Linked DNA regions of Lonchura striata. The protein of the gene in region 2 purifies or fractionates together with the protein of the main gene of each other region. This does not show direct contact. Links are inferred from orthologs where the notes say so. Each region holds a gene or a part of one and is shown on either strand. Other genes may lie near its edges.

Region 1 (7,851 bases), on a different chromosome or scaffold from region 2:
TAAAGCAGGTGAGACAAAAAAATAATCCATTTGTTAAAGAACAAATTACAACAAGCACTTAGAACTCCTTGTTAAATCATTCCATTATTTAACAATTTTGATTTCCATGAAGAAAAAGAACAGCAATAGAGTGAGATGCATTCATGGCAACCTAATCACCCAAACTGAGGCAGCCTTCCAGATTAATGAGCCTGATTCCTTCTTGTTAGAGACAACCTCATCACACATGGATGGGATTCTTAGGGATCCTTTCCCTTGCCCATTCCCAGGCTGTTTGTGAGCATTGCTCTGCATTATCAACAGTCAGCACTGGGGGTTTTCTTTATCTCCACCTCAACACCAAACACCCTTGGATATTTCAGGTTTAAATTTAATGCAATGAAGTATCTGTCCTGGAATTTGAGTAATTTTTAAGAGAGACCTAATTATGGACTCGATCAGAATATGTTCAAGCAAGTACCAAAATACACAGGATCCCACAATCACTGAGGTTGAAAGAGACCCCTGAGTCCAACCTGTGACTGATCATCCCCTTGTCACCAGCCCAGAGCACTGAGTGCCATGTCCAGCTCTTCCTTGGACACCTCCAGGGATGGGGACTCCAAACCTCCCTGGGCAGCTCCTTCCAGTCCCTGACCACCCCTTCCATGAGGAAATTCCTCCTGGTGCCCAACCTGACCCTCCCCTGGCACAGTTTGATGCACTTTCTTCTCTCCTGTCCCTGTTCCCTGGGAGCAGAGCCTGCCCCTCACCCAGGCTGTCCCATCCTGTCAGGAGTTGTGCAGAGCCACAAGGTCCCTCCTGAGCCTCCTTTGCTCCAGGCTGAGCCCCTTTAGCTGCCCCTTCTCCATCTCCATTCCCTTTCCTGGACATGCTCCAGCTCCTCCATATCTGTCCTGGAGCGAGGGGCCCGGAGCTGGACAAAGCAATTGAGGGTCCTCAGTGTCCAGCTCAGGGGTGGTCACAGCCTGGCCCTGCTGCCCACGCTGGTTTTGATACAAAGGACAATTGGGGAGAAGCTGCAGGGCCGGGCAGGCGCTTTCAGGAACCTGCAGGGTGGTTCAAAACAGGAAGTTTGAGATGAAGACAAACCCGGCCCAGGGTCTGAGAACTGAGCTCCTGCCTCGGGATAGGAAGTGCAGCACAAGAGCTCCTGTAAGAGTCAAAGAAAACCCTCCACGCTCTGCCCTGGCAGAGACAAAGGGGCATTGATGAGGTTCCAGGGGAAGCAGTAATTAATGCAGGTGCCAGGCACACCCGCCCTGGTGCAAAGGCTGCAGCCACCAGGTCTCCTGACACAGCCCCACGCAGCCATGGACAAACCCTCTGGTTTTGCTAAAGGAAAGGGTTGATTTGTTTTATTTACCAAAAGATTAAATGAAGATTCCTTTATGTATGTAGATAAGCCACTGGATTCTAATAAATAAGTAAAGATTTCTTCATATATGTGGACAAGCCAGCGGGTTTCTAGTAAGTAAGTAAAGAGCTGGAAGTGCTCTAATGTCACGATAAAGGCTGGATTACAGGATTACCAGACAGTGATTCTGATGCCCCAAGGAGCTTAAGGAACACAGTTCACACAGCTTTATCTCCAACTCACAACACCCCTGATGTGAGCAAGCATAGATAGGCTACCTTGTGAGATAGGGACAATCACCTGCCTGAGAGATGCCAGCTGCATTTATTGTAAAACCAAATTTCTACAGGGGTACAAGCAGAATCCCAGACTGGTTTGGGTTGGAGGGAGCTTAAAGCTCACCCAGTGCCAATCCCTACCATGGGCAGGGACACCTTCCATTATCCCAACCCCATCCAACCTGGCCTTGGCCACTTCCAGGGATGGAGCAACTTCTCTGGGCAACCTGTGCCAGGGCCTCACTACCCTCACAGGGAAGACTTCCTTCTGTAAAAAGAAGAATGTCACTTCCTGGAAGTTCATTTGGAATTTTTATCATTTTTTAAAACATAACTCAGATTGAATAAAAGTTGTTCTCCCTTTTCCCACATCCTATCTTCTGCCAATTCAAGTGTTATCTACATTACACAGACATTGATATTACACATACAATAATAAGGTATTATTACATCAGTGTTTTAATTCATTTCACTATGTGCATAACCTGCCCAGAACACAAACAGCAAAAACTAAAGAGCCAGAAAAGACACAGACAGAGCTGACAAAATAAAGCAGGACAGTTTTAGATACAAGAGCTGCAGAACTACAGACGGTCAGGAGATGCAACAGCTTTTCTGAACACCACCTCCACTTCCATATGCTCCCAAACTGATCTGCAGCGGCATACGCGCCAGCCCAAGGCAGACCCTGCTCCCTGAGCATCTCCAGACACCTCAGCACAACTTTCCTTGGAAGTGTGGGCCGTGGGACAAATCCCAGTTTACCTCCCCAATGCCCCTGGGAACAGGGACAGGGGTGAAAACGCAGCCCCCCAAAAACAGCCCTGCTCCTTTCCAGTGACACATTCCCAACCCACGCCCTGCCCGTGACTGAAGGTGGATTCCTGTCAGCTTCCCTCCTTCCTAGGCTGGGGAGCTCCGCACTTCCCGCCGCCGGAGCCCTCCGGGATGCTCCCGGAGCTCCGCGTGCCCCGGGCTCGGGAGGGGCGGCGGTGCCGGACACCCGGACACGGAGTTCCATCCCAGCCCTGCAAGTGTCCCAGGCCAGGCTGGACGCTGTCGGAGCAGCCCGGGCTCCTGGAAGCCGCGCTGCCCACGGGCTTTGAGCTGCCTTCCCACCCAAACCATCCCGCTCCATCACAGGTGCAGCGCTCCGGGGCGGGGACGCCCCCGGGCCGGCGGCGCCCCCGCGGCCCCCGGTTCCAGAGGGGTCCGCGGGACGAGCCCGCGCGGTGCCGCTGGCGGTGCGGTGCCTACCCTGAGCGCTGCAGTCGGCGCAGACCTCGCTGCTCCTCAGGCGCTTCGCCATCGCGGGACCGGCGGCAGCGGCGGCAGCGGGGCCGGTAACGGGCCCCGCCAGCCCCGGGCCGGCCCCGCGCATGCGCGACGAGACCCCCTCTGCCGCTCCGCGTGTCGCCCGTGCCGCCATCTTTACTCCTGGCACGGGGGCCTGCCTTCAAACTGAGCTCCGGCTCAGCGGCGCGGCACCGAGCGCTCCCGCCCGGGCCCGCCTGCCCGCTGCGCCCTCTCGGCGGGGTTATGGGAGAGATGTGGCTTCGGAAGCCTGCTGGGAGAGGCCGCTGTGCAGCAAGCCCTGCCCTTACCCGCCATGGCGGGCGGGCGAGCCAAACCAAGGCCGGGCGAAGGCGGGGTGAGAGCGGTGAGCGCACCCCATGCGGGGAAGGCAATGGGACAGCTGCGGGCGGGACGTTCCATCCGTCCGCCCTCAGAGGGGGAGGGGGAGCGGCTTCCGCTTTCCGTGCGGTTGTCGGTGGCGGTAGGAGTGCGGGGCACCGCGAGGAAACCCCCCTGCTCCGGGCGCGCTGTGGTCGGTGCCAGCCGTCCCCGGAGGGACGGGGAAGAGGGGCCGGGACGGCTGAGGGGGAGCGGGGCGAGCCCGGGAGCGGCGCCGAGCGGACTCCGGGAGGAGACCCGGGGGCTGCCAGGGGCACCAGCAGCAGCAGGGGAGACCCCCGCGCTGGGGTTTTGCATGGGGCTCCCTTCGGAGAGGGCTGAACGGTTCCTGGGGGGTCGTGGCCCGCACACGCACACCTGGGCCAGGTGGGTGCCCGCAGAGACCAGAAGCTGAAGGGCTCAGGGCTTGAGTGACGTGGGAGCATCCAGAGAGGAGAGAGTGAGGGTCCCCCCCGGCTCGCAGGTGTGTGCTGGGATGAGCTCCCCCGGCGGGGCCGGCAGCGCCTTCCCCCTGCACGTCCTGGTGTGGAATAACGACTACCGGCGGCTGGACGAGGAGCTGCGGGACCAGGTACCGGGGCTCGGGGGCTGCTGGGGGGCTGCTGGCCCTGGCTCGCTGCTGTGCCAGGGAGGATCACCCTGGTGGCGCTGCTTGAGGGATCCCTGCACTCGGTTACCTGTTTATTTGTGGTGTGGGAGTGATGCGAGAAGGTGTGGGAATATATTTTTATGTCAGATACTAAACGTTGGCTTCCCATCTGTAAAGCTTTGCTCTGAGCGTTGCTCTTTAGGGGAGAGCTCAAGGAGGGCAGCTGTGATGGATATTAATTTATTTATTAAAGCAATAAATAGTGTTTGTCTTAATGGGAAGTCAACGTGCAGCAAAGGTAGCTGGTGCTACTGGACATCAAACCAAGCCCTCACTTTGCTGAGCACCATCAGTTCTTACAGGTTTGTCGCTGCCCAAGAATGAGGACAGAGTTTTTATATGGGTTGGAATGTTTTCAGCATCTCTGGTAAAAAAAAAAAAAAATAGAAATGGATCATTGTTTAGTGCTGGAGAGCAGCAAACACAAAGCTGTCCCCTCTCTGGGACATGATGACGTAAGGAAACAGCCTGAAAGCTGCAGCAGAGCTTGAGCAGCAAAAATCCTCCTGGCTGAGCTGCTGTGCAAAAGCTCTGACGGGCTAGAGCGAGGTACAGTTAATGAGCAGAGCTGATTAATTAATTATACCTGACACCACAAGTACGTGAGCCCAAGACCGGCTGTGCCACCTCCTGTCACCTGCAGCTCTAACGGTGCACCTGACTTACTAATTCCTGCTTAGAGCATGTTCCTGCCCTGGTTTGGGAGAATCTTTGGAATGCAGTCACTTTTTACCTCATTTATATCACCTTATGCCTTAACAAAATCTTTAACCTCACTGGCACGTTGCTCCTGTGTGTTTACTTCTGACATCTGTGAGAGTTTATGGTTAAATAGGGATCACTCAGCAGCTCCCACCTGTGGAATGCTGCTTCCTCCCTCCATTCCCTGTGGAAGCCAGCAGCGTGTGAAGATGGACTGTGTCTCTTCCTTTACCTGCTTTTAAACACCTTTTTTTTCTTTTTTTTTTTTTTTTTTTTAAGTATTCCAAAGATCTGGTTCCCCCTGCTGCTTTGGGATGAGCTTCCTGCTGCTGGAGGGACCTGTGAAGGAATCAAAGGCACTTCCCAGCTGTGGCTGGAGTGGCAAATGGGGTGGGGCATGTGGGGACCAGGGAACAGCAACAAACAGTGGGGAGGGACCCTTGGAGCTCTTTAGAGCTGCAGGAGGTGGAGAAACAAATTAATTAATGTTCCACCCCAGAAGTGAAGATGCTTTAAAGTGAAGCTTTCCCACTCTCTGTGAGATATTCTGACTTGAAGCTGTCAGATAACGCTGTTAACGTGCATAATAACCTTCCTTTCTCATTCTGCTATTGACTTTCCCCTTTTCCTTTAGTTATAGATGCTCTTCTGTTTCAAATCTCTAAGCTAATAGTGAAAAATGTGTAAGGTATGAGTATGTTGTGCTTGCATGTTTTGGATATTTGTGCCTGTGTAGTTTATTTTTTACTTTAGTGACTTGCAGAGAATGCCCTCACTCCTCATTGTGCTGTGTGTGTGCTTTGTGAAACACCATCTGCTTCTGTCCTTTCCAAAAGTGCTGTCCAAAAGCCGTGTTGTATGTCCTGTTGCCTTTTTTTTCCCCTTTCCCCCCCATTTTGTTGTACAGTTTAAACTCTCTGTGGGGTCTCAGGCTCTTGGCTGTCCGTGGGGTGATGCACACGGACAGAACTCCTCCTGAGCCTTCTGGGGGGAGCCAGAGGGGAAATAATGACAGAAAAAGCAATGAAAAGCATCAACAAGAACTCCTGTCCTACAGATTTTGTGTCATTTCATAGGCCCCGTTCTGCTTCTCCTTTTATTCACGTGGGGAAGCAAGGCAGCCCCGCAGAAGGGCGGTGCAGGAGAGTTTGGGAGTGGATCCATGGGAATGGCAGGGAATGCTGACTCCTGGATGAGCCCTGTGTTTGTGCAGGCTCTGATGAGCTCTGTTACTCTCTCTTGGACACTGACAGGATGTTGACCAGCGGGATCCACGGGGCAGGACCTTGCTGCACTTGGCTGTTTCCTTGGGTTACATCGAATCTGCCAAGGTCCTCCTGCAGCACAAGGCAGATGTGACCAAGGAGAACGCGCAGGGATGGACGGGTAAGGAACAACCTGGGGTGTCAGTCTTTCAGTAGCAGCTGTTCTGTGTTTTTATATGGAATTTTGGTCAGCAAGCAAAGTGACACGAGGCTGTGGCTGGCTTTCTTTCAGTTTTGCATGAGGCTGTCAGCACAGGGGATCCAGAGATGGTCCAGCTGATCCTGCAGCATCGGGACTACCAGCAGACCTCCATGACCCTCGGAGGAGTTCCCGAGTTACTGCAGAAGATTAACGAGGTAAGGATTTATTGAAGTGTAAACTCTCATTCTAGACTGAAATCTCTGCTTGAATACTCATTCAAGTAGTTCAGTTAACTATTGCAATCAGCTGGGTAATTGTGTTTTGTTCCAACCTGCATATTCCGTAGTCCTGAAGGACATGGAGGCTTTTCCTTGACTTTATTTAAATCCTTTGTCATGTACTCCAGCATTGGAGGCTGAATTTTGAAGGCACTGCTGCCTCTCCAGTAAAACAAGGAAGAACAGCTCCCCAGAAAGCAGCAGGGGCAGGGCAGTGCCTGTTGTGTTTGCAACTTTCAATTTCAGTTTTAGCATTGGCTAATCATTTCTCCAGTTTTGCTCTCTTTTTTTTTTTTTCCTTTATCTAAAATGTTCACAGGAAATGCTGCACTGACTGTCAAACTATTTCATGAAGTACTCATCAGGTGTTTTCCTTCTGCAGACTCCTGACTTTTATGTGGAAATGAAATGGGAGTTCACTAGCTGGGGTAAGGATCCTGCTCCTTGTTACCAATTTCAAGCTGTAAAAATGAGTTAGAAATGTCCCACAGTGCAGGCAGGGAGATATCCGCTCCCTGCAATCTTCCTCTTCTCCATCTCAAAATGACCTCTTGTGCTTTTGTTGCACAATTATTCTTTGTTTCCTGTGTGTCTGGTTGGTTGGGTTTTGGTAGTGGAGAATTTAGCTGTTGTTGCTGTTGCCTGGAGACTTTTCTTGGGTTTTTTTTTACCTGTCCCTGGCCATCCACAACTGATCGTGTGTCATCTATGGATTCACTGGTTGTTTGAGGAAGTACCTGCTTTTCCCTGAAAGGAATGAACATTAGGTCTCACAGCTGATTAAATATATCAAATATCAAATATTAGACGACCAGGCATGGGGTTTATGCCATTTCAAACCTTGCAGTCCAAACAAATATCTTCTTCCTTTCCATATTCATCTTTAAATTAGGCCGGTTTTCCCCTAAGCTGGTTGTTCTTAAAGCTGAAGATGATCAGTATCTCACCTCCTCTGGAATGACATTCCCAGGAGTGAGCAATCCCTGTGCTTGAACTAATTTCCTCAGTGCTGCACCTCTTGCACATTTTCCCTTTGCATTTCTCCCATTTCTCCCAGTGCCCCTGGTTTCCAGGGTGTGCCCGAGCGATGTTTGCCGCATCTGGAAGAGCCGGGCCAAGCTGCGTGTGGACATCACCTTGCTGGGCTTCGAGAACATGAGCTGGGAGAGGGGCAGGAGGACTGTCATCTTCAAGGGAGAAGGTAAAGAGTTCACCTGTCTGCACCACTGGCCCCCAAACACTGTATGAGCACAGTGAGAAATCCTGATTTTACACAAAAAAAGCCTCTGTGCATTATGAAGGTTTTATGCTTATGTTTGTGTTTCGCAGAGATACTGTTTTATGATGGTGTAACTTCTTTGCTTTGAGTAAATCTGAGGTAAAAATTTGGTGATGGGGTAAAATGTCAGTATTTTACTGTTTCCCTCCTTCTTTTCTGCTGCCCTGCGTATAAAAAATAATTTTAGTTCCATCTCCAAGTTTGAT
Region 2 (7,749 bases):
GAGACAGGCTGTCGTGCTTGAGATGTTTGCCTGCCTGCCATTACTGTGCTACTTTCCACACTTCCTTCACTAACAGCAATTCCTTCATGCTCCAAAGGCCCAAGTGAATGAGCAGTGTTTACAACCTCCCCCTTCCCTCCCCTCCCTCTCAGCAGTGCCCCTCTTGCTCTCCCTGGGTGCCTCGTTCTTTGTTTGCTGCTGCCTGTGTTTTGTAAAGCAGAGCTGCTGCCATGATTCTTCACTGCAAAAGTGGTGGAGCACTGGAATGGGATGCCCAGAGAAGCAGTGGATGCCCCATCCCTTGGAAGTGTTTGAGGCCAGGTTGGTTGGGGCTTTGAGCAACCTGGTCTAGTGGAAGATATCCCTGCCCATGGCAGGGGAGTTGGGACAAAATGGTCTTAAAGGTCCCTTCCCACCCTAACCATTCTAGGATAATTTTCAGTCAACATAGATCCCTAAAAGAGTGTTCACATCCTTGGCTTAGGCTGGCTGGTGGGATCAGGGAGGAAGGGGACTTTCAAAGTCAGGTGAATGATTAAATAAGGCTGGGAGGTGGGAGGAAGGGGAAAGGAGAGGAAGTAGGAATGAGTAGATGTTCCTTGATACAGGTGGAGAAAAATAGGGGCAGGCAGGGATGGGTGTTTAATTTTAGAGTGCAGGCAGAGGGAAGTTTGATGTAGGGAACCATAGCTATAAGTGCAGTTGGGAGATTGAAAGACAAAATTCTGAACCAAATTTCTGGTTTTGGAGCACATCAGTACTGTTTGTAATATCTGAAAAGAGGCTCCTCTGTCAGGGCACTCATCTCCACAGATTCTTTTGCATAATGTAGGATTTACATACAGTCAGTCTGTGGTGTGAATTCTTATAGCCCCAGTGACTGACCCAGTGTGTTTGAAGTTTATACCTCAATCCACAAAGAAGAGCTTACAGCACTTAAATATGTTTTTTGCCTAAGATTACCAGTGCTTAGTAATATTTTTCCAAAACCTGAACTATTAAGATCATTGAGAGAACATGTAAAACCTAAGCCAAAGCCAGGATTCTGTACACTCCAGAGAAACTCACAGTGCAGGGTAAAACTTCCCCCTTGCTTTTAAGCTTGAATTAGCAGCATGCCTCAAAATTTGGATATATATGCTTAAATTCAGCTGTTAGCTAATGAATCAAAGACTGACCTCACTGTTAAGCCATTGCCCATCTGTATTTTATGACTTCCAGAGATACACAAGGCTTCCAGAATCAAACAGTCATTTGTGGCTTCCCTAATATTCCCTGACTTGCTGATTGCTCACCAAAGCACTGAGTGCTCTTAGCTGTCTCTGTGCAATTTCCTGGCAAAAGGAGATCTGGAATGTAAAAGTGTATTCATCACCAGAGGTTTTGCAAGATTCCAGGACTTCAATGAAGCGGTAAGAGATTATTTAAAATTTGAATGGCATGAAGGTTGCTCTGAGGTTTCAACCAAATATAAGGTAACTTAACCAAAAAGTCAGTAACCCATAAGAAGAACCAGAATTATCTGGGATTTAGGTATCAAAAAAACAAACAAACAAAAAAACCCAAACCAAAACAACAACAACAAAAACCAAAAACCAAATGAAAGAAAACCCCACCAAGTTGTAAGTACTGTTATAACTGTACCAGACAGATCCTAAACCTTTACTGTGAGCTTCTCAGTACAGAAATGGAAGACTGAGTGGCAAGTGGGAACGTGTACATTACGATGCCTTAACCACTTATCTGGAGTGAAACAACTGCATATAGTCAATTACTGAGACATGTTTTTGCATAAACTGGATTTTCACTTCAGTTCTAAGATCAAAAAAGTGTAACCCAGAGCCAGCTTTTCTAAAATGGTGACCCTGGTTCTTACTCCTGTATTTGAACTCATTCTAGGGCAAAGAAATCATAACAAACCTTTCTACGGGATGGTAGGAGGTGCATGTCCATGTTAAATATGCATCAATGGTAATGTGGTATTTCTATACATTTTGGAAATGATTTTAACTTCTGTTAGGATGAGTATTACATACCATCTAACATCAAGATATATAAGATAGGAACCAGATGCTACTCTGTGCTAGTCAGGTGTTCTGGGCTTTTTTTAGCTTTTACTTTGCTTTTCTGGCACTAAAACTCCCTAAAATTTACTAAGGAAATGAAAGATTGCTGCTGTCGTGCTTTGGTGTGTTTATTTAGCAAAAACATTTCTGCATCATAGATTTGTGTCCAGAAACACATTCCTCACTGCTTTAGTGTACTGCATTATCTGGACAAAATGAAAAGGAAATAGTTGTGATTTGAAAGTGTTTTACATACATTTTTCAGTGCTGTACAAACTTATATGATATGTAGGGCAGTGATGAATCTTAGTCTCTCTTCTTCATTTCACACCACTATAACAACACTACTTTGCTGGATTGACTTCTTATTTACTGTGTGAGAAACCTCCAGATAGTACTGTGCCGACTCACCACCACCTTCAGTTTTGCTTGCTGGTGCTTGCTATTTCTTCATCTTCACAGTATGATATATAGCTGAGGAACTTCTTAATTTTGTGTTGCATAACTATAGGACTCTATTTTTTTTGTCTTTTTCCTTTCCCTACTATTAAAATCTAGAGACCTGCAGTCAGTCTTCAGGTCGTTCATGAACTCTGTTTTCTTCCATGTAGGCTGAGTCCAATTTGTCTCTGTTTGCTTAAGCAGATTAATTGAGTGGACAGGTTAACGCAGGTGACTAAGTGGGCACATCCTAACAAGTTACTGTCCCTCAGCTCAGCTTCATCTCCTGTGAATTTATATGCTCTTGTGTTCCTCCTGCATCATATCAGCCAAGGTATTTGGGGATTTGATCTGAGTAAAAACACCTAGGAAAATCCTAGATGGACCAGTTATTTGATCCCTTCCATTACATAGCTGCACAAATAGCTGTGTTGGCACAGTGCAGGGAGTAGCTCAGGAACGGAGCTGCACAGCAGAGTAAGAACTATTGATACTGGTGCTGCTGACAGAGAAGGAATCGTCAGGCTGTGCCCCACGGCAGTGTACTGCTTGTTCTGCTGTGTGTCTGAAGGGGAGGCAAACACAGCTCTTATGTGATTGCTGTAAAACTGATTGTTCGACAGAGTTGGTCTTTGAGGCTGGGGTCTGGTGCCAGGCTTCTTCCCACAGAACACAGGAGACCCTTTTGAGGTATAAGAAATCCCCTGTTTCCTCCATATTAGAAAAGGGGCATTTGATTTGAACCTGAGTGCAAGGCAGGATGGTTCCTTTGCCTGAAAACCCCTGAACACTTAGCTGTGAGTGCTTAGAAATGCAAATAAAAAGATTTACATTTCACTCATTCCTTTCTGAAGTACCAAATTCTGGTTTGCAGTGGTAGCTTTCTATCCTGTTCTTACGCTGTTCATGGACATCTTCCTCCTTTCATTTAGGAACTCCCTCTGAAATATCAAGCAGCAATTTTGCACAAATGAATCTTGAACTTTGGGTAAATTCAGAAAACTCTAAGTATTGTAATTCCTGGATATTTCATTAGGATTTCACATTACTACAGAATAGGAAAATAGCAAAATGTAAGGATTCTTTACGTTTTGGTGAGATTCCTTTGAACTGAGTTAACCTGTGTATTGATTGTCCCCTCTCAGCTGTCTCTTCTCAAGGCTGAGCGTGGCCAGCTCACTCAGTTTTCCTCATAAGGGAGATGCTCATTTCCCCTCATCACATTTGTAGCTCTTTGGGCGGGTGCTTTGGGCAAACACTATAGTTATACAACCCCACTCCAGGAGCTCCATGTTTCTCTTGGACTGAGGAGCCTGGCACTGGTCACAGCACCCCAGATGGACCTCTCCGGGGCTCAGAAGAGTGCAGTACACCCAGTGTATATGGACCAGGCCTTAGGTCAACCACTGCAATTTCCTGACTTATCTATTCTCCATGTGGTTGAATGAATGTATTTGGTAACATGTCTCGTCAAACAGGCATGGTTATGGAGTATTTTGGGCTGTTCTCTTGTCTGGCTTCAAAATTTTTTTTTTTTAAATATTGTCAGCATTCACTCATGTTTCTGAAAAGGTTTTGATATTTCAAGCATGGTACAAAAAGGAAGTCACTCTTCAGCTCTCAGTTCAGGGTCAAAGGGTAACTCTTGTGTTTTAACTCCAGCTTTCATGGAGCCCCCTTTATGGATCCAGAATTTAAATTGAGCTACGTGGCTTTTGCCTCAGTTCATTCCCTCCCCCCAGCAGCAATCCAGTAAGCTCCCATGTATCTCTGGGATTCTTGACACAGTCTGATCCTGTCTTTGAAGTGATGGGACTGATACATATTACCCTGAACTACAGAAAAACCTTTATGTTGCAACCAAACTGCGAGCAGAGGATGCTTGAGGGAGCTCATGCGATCTGCCTGTGTGTGTGGATTTGAGCCCAATGTTAAATGTATCCAACAGAGGAAAGTGCTTCGAAGTGCGTAATTCCACAGCAGGTTCAGCTGACTGAAATCAGCTTTGTGGCATTCTCACTCTCCCTATCAGTCCCAGACTCGAATTCTCGCTTCCTCCATTTGTTTACTTTTGCGATGTTAATTTGTGTGTGTAATTTTCTGTTGGTTTAGCTCCTGAACAAACTTATCACGGCAACTGATAAATGTTGGACAAGGGGGAAGGGCGAGACTGTGGCAGCGCTGTCTTATCTGTCGTGTGCTGTCTCGGTATAAAGCTCGTCTCCCTTTTGCCTGTAACTACCTGCTTCACTTCAACATTTCACCTTCCCACCTCTGGAGAGCACGTCCCGAGAACACCTCACCTCTCTTCTCGAGAGCCCGGCGCTGTACGTGCAGCCAAACCCCTCCTCTTTTTCCCTCCGGGCGCAGCACAAGCGCTGAGCCGAAAACTCCTGTTAACTAGGGTGACAAGTTTCCAGCAAGCTGCGGAACACGGGGAGAGGGGACACCCGGATCCCGGCAATATAAGGTATAGACGCCTCGGCTTGTGCAACACAGCGGCAGGGCAGAGCCCGTTTTATTCTTGCCTTTTTTGGATCTGCACGCACACAGACCTCAGCACAATGGAGCCGGCTCCGCGATAGCGCAGCGCGGTACGGGCGGCAGAAATAAAGTCAGCGCAGCGCGGCTCGCGATTGCTGCGATTGCCGCGATTCCCCGCTGATGGCGTGATCGCCAAAGACTTCTGCGTCCCAGGCAGGCCAGCGCCGCTGCCGGCCGCTGCCCGGCGGAGCCGCGGGCTCCGGGAGCCGCCCGCAGCCGCAGCGCGGCCGGAGCACACCCGCGGCCCCGGGGCAGCGCCGGGGCAGCGCCGGGGCGCTCCGGGCTCCCGCCGCGCCGCGCAGGTACCTCCCGTTCCCAAAGCAACTTTCCGCCGCCGAGCGAAGCGCAGGGACCTGCCCCCGCCCCTCGCCCCGCTGCGTCCCGCCCCGCGGCCCGGCTGCCCACCTTGGCGGCAGGGGGGCTGCGGGCGGGCCCCGAGCCAATGGCCGCGGCACGGCGGGCAGGGCGCGGGGCGGCGCCGGCCGCGGCAGGGCGGCGTGGGCAGCGGGGCCGGGCAGACCGGGCAGCACCTTGCGGCGGGCGGAAGGTGAGTGCCGCCGCGCCGGGGAAGGGGATTTCCTCGCTTGTTTTGTAACCGGGAAGTTTGCGCAGGGCTTGAGCGGACGGGTGCGTTCTTCTTCTTCAGCCCTTCTCTTCCCTCCTCCTTTTGAAATTTTCTCGTAGAAGAGGGTACTGACCCTGCCTTCCCCCCCCTGCCTCCCCGACTCATTCATTTAACAAAGGGAGTTGTTCTCAGCCGCCGGGCTTTGCGAGCGGGGAGCCCTTCGGGGCCGCATGTTTGGGGTCCCGGAGCAGAGGCTGGGGTGAAATCGGCGCTCAGCCCACAGTTTTTGCCAAGCACCCGTCCTGCCTTCGGCTGGAGGGGCGGGCGCTTTGGGCAAACACAAAGAATTGAGGAGCTGGACCCATGCTGGGCGATGGGTTGATGAAGCCTCGGGCTTTGTGTGGCTGGTGGAGGAGGGATGGAGAGGTGGGAGCTTGTCTTTTAACCCCTCCGCCCGCATGTGTGTACGAAACCGTGACTTTTTTCCTAGTAAAGTACTTAAAAGCGAAGCTGAACTTTGGGATCGCGGCATAATTCAGATTGGAGGGAACGTCAGCTGGTCTCAATCCAGCCTTCTTCAAAGCAGGGGCTTCTGCCTGGGGAGTGGGGGGCAGTGAAGGGACATCGGAGATGGCTGGCACCTCTGGGTGCTCTTGAATGCACCTGGGAGCTCGCTAGAGAAGGCAGCACCAGCAGGACGGGATTTCAGAGGTACTAGCGCTTCTGTCTTCCACTGTGCATGGAAATGCCCCAATCCACAGCTCTCCCACGCCTGCACTCCCTGGTCTTGCTGCTTTTGTTATCCAGAGGGCTTAAAATTCATGATTGTTGGGAATAGCTGGCTCCATCCGTATGTGTGTCACGGTGCATCTGCTCCTGCTGAGCATTACTTGATTCTTATTTCAACATTGCCTCCAGGAGTTTTTTTCTTCTGGAGCAAGATTTATAAATAGGTGTCAAAACCTGACTTTTGCTTGGGACTGGCTGTAAGGCGTGTACTTTCTGTGGTAACTATGTATGAGATGTGTATGTGTGTGAGAACAACTATAAAATCTGTTCAGTTAGCCACACTTTTCATTTTCAAAGTAAAAGTAGGTATTGTAGCAGGGTGAAATGGCTGGATCGGGCACAGAGGGAAGAATGTTTGTTTTCTTTGCTCGCAATTACTCTTTGCCCAGTGACTTATGGATGCCTTTCACTGAACCACCTCCCCCTTCTCTACAGTTGGGAGTTTCCTGGTGTTGCACATTACCTGGGCAAGCAGGGAGCATCTTCCTGTCGCTGCTTCAATATCTCTTAGTGTGGGTGTGCTGGTCTTGCTCTCAGCTTTATAGGGTGAGGCTGGAAAAACTCCTCCTTGTGGAACAGTTTGCGTGTGTGTCCACTGGATGCTTGGAGACTGCTTTTTCCCGTGCATTTTTTTTGTGGGTAAGTCAGAGAAATGAAGCTCATCTCTGCACAGGGAACAGAAGCTATGGTGGGAATTTGAATATGTTTAAATACTGATTCTATTTAACTCTGGATTGCCTGTCTTGTGCCACAGAACAGAATTTGTTCTCAGCTGTACTGTATAACAGAGCTGGAGTCTAAGACTGGACAATAAACTGCCAGGTAATTTTTTTAGCCTTTTTGAGTCCTGCATCTTTAAATGGGATGATATAACTGCCATTTTTCGATTTGGAAATGAAAGCCAAAAATAAACTTGAAGAAGAAAATGCTCTTGTAGCATGACAGCAAGAATGCTTTTACCGGTTTCTGAGGAATACTGTGTGCTCTGGATGTTGCTCAGAAAAAAAAAGAGTAGGGAAAAGTGAGGTTTTTAGTTCATGCATTTCTGTGCATAATGGGGATATAGGAAGAAATACGTGACAAGTCCAATATAAGTGCCACAAGTGGAAATATATTGCTTGTTTATTTTGTTTTTCACTGCCTTTCTTGCGCTGGATTGAAAACTGATGCTAGCTCTCTTTGCTGGAGAGGTCAAAGAACTGTTTTATTATCCTTTTCCAGGCTCTGAAAGGAGACCTTTTCTCTCAGCTTTGATTTCAATGCATGAATTTCACCAGTTTGCTGATTAGTGTCTTGTCTTTTTATAACTGTGAACTGCAGAATGGCTTCTTTTCTTCTTTTTCC

What was found. The genes of interacting proteins can lie anywhere in the genome.
Region 1: the proteins of PAK1 (region 2) and GIT2 purify together in Homo sapiens (affinity purification with mass spectrometry; 5 studies listed by BioGRID and IntAct, with this or other methods). This does not show direct contact. The link is inferred for Lonchura striata from reciprocal best matches to the Homo sapiens genes PAK1 and GIT2.

The regions. Positions count from the first base shown.
Region 1 is NC_134620.1:11,019,071-11,026,921, reverse strand, and holds the start of GIT2 (ARF GTPase-activating protein GIT2), read right to left. Parts: upstream 3,004-7,851; 5' UTR 2,945-3,003; coding exon 2,893-2,944; intron 1-2,892. Other genes in the region: ANKRD13A (ankyrin repeat domain-containing protein 13A), read left to right, coding at 3,806-3,901, 5,935-6,067, 6,179-6,303, 6,749-6,794, 7,424-7,567. UniProt on the Homo sapiens protein: GTPase-activating protein for ADP ribosylation factor family members, including ARF1.
Region 2 is NC_134604.1:32,382,775-32,390,523, reverse strand, and holds the start of PAK1 (serine/threonine-protein kinase PAK 1), read left to right. Parts: upstream 1-4,740; 5' UTR 4,741-4,977; intron 4,978-5,500; exon of another isoform or gene 5,501-5,678; intron 5,679-6,106; exon of another isoform or gene 6,107-6,327; intron 6,328-6,409; exon of another isoform or gene 6,410-7,044; intron 7,045-7,050; exon of another isoform or gene 7,051-7,227; intron 7,228-7,749. UniProt on the Homo sapiens protein: Protein kinase involved in intracellular signaling pathways downstream of integrins and receptor-type kinases that plays an important role in cytoskeleton dynamics, in cell adhesion, migration, proliferation, apoptosis, mitosis, and in vesicle-mediated transport processes.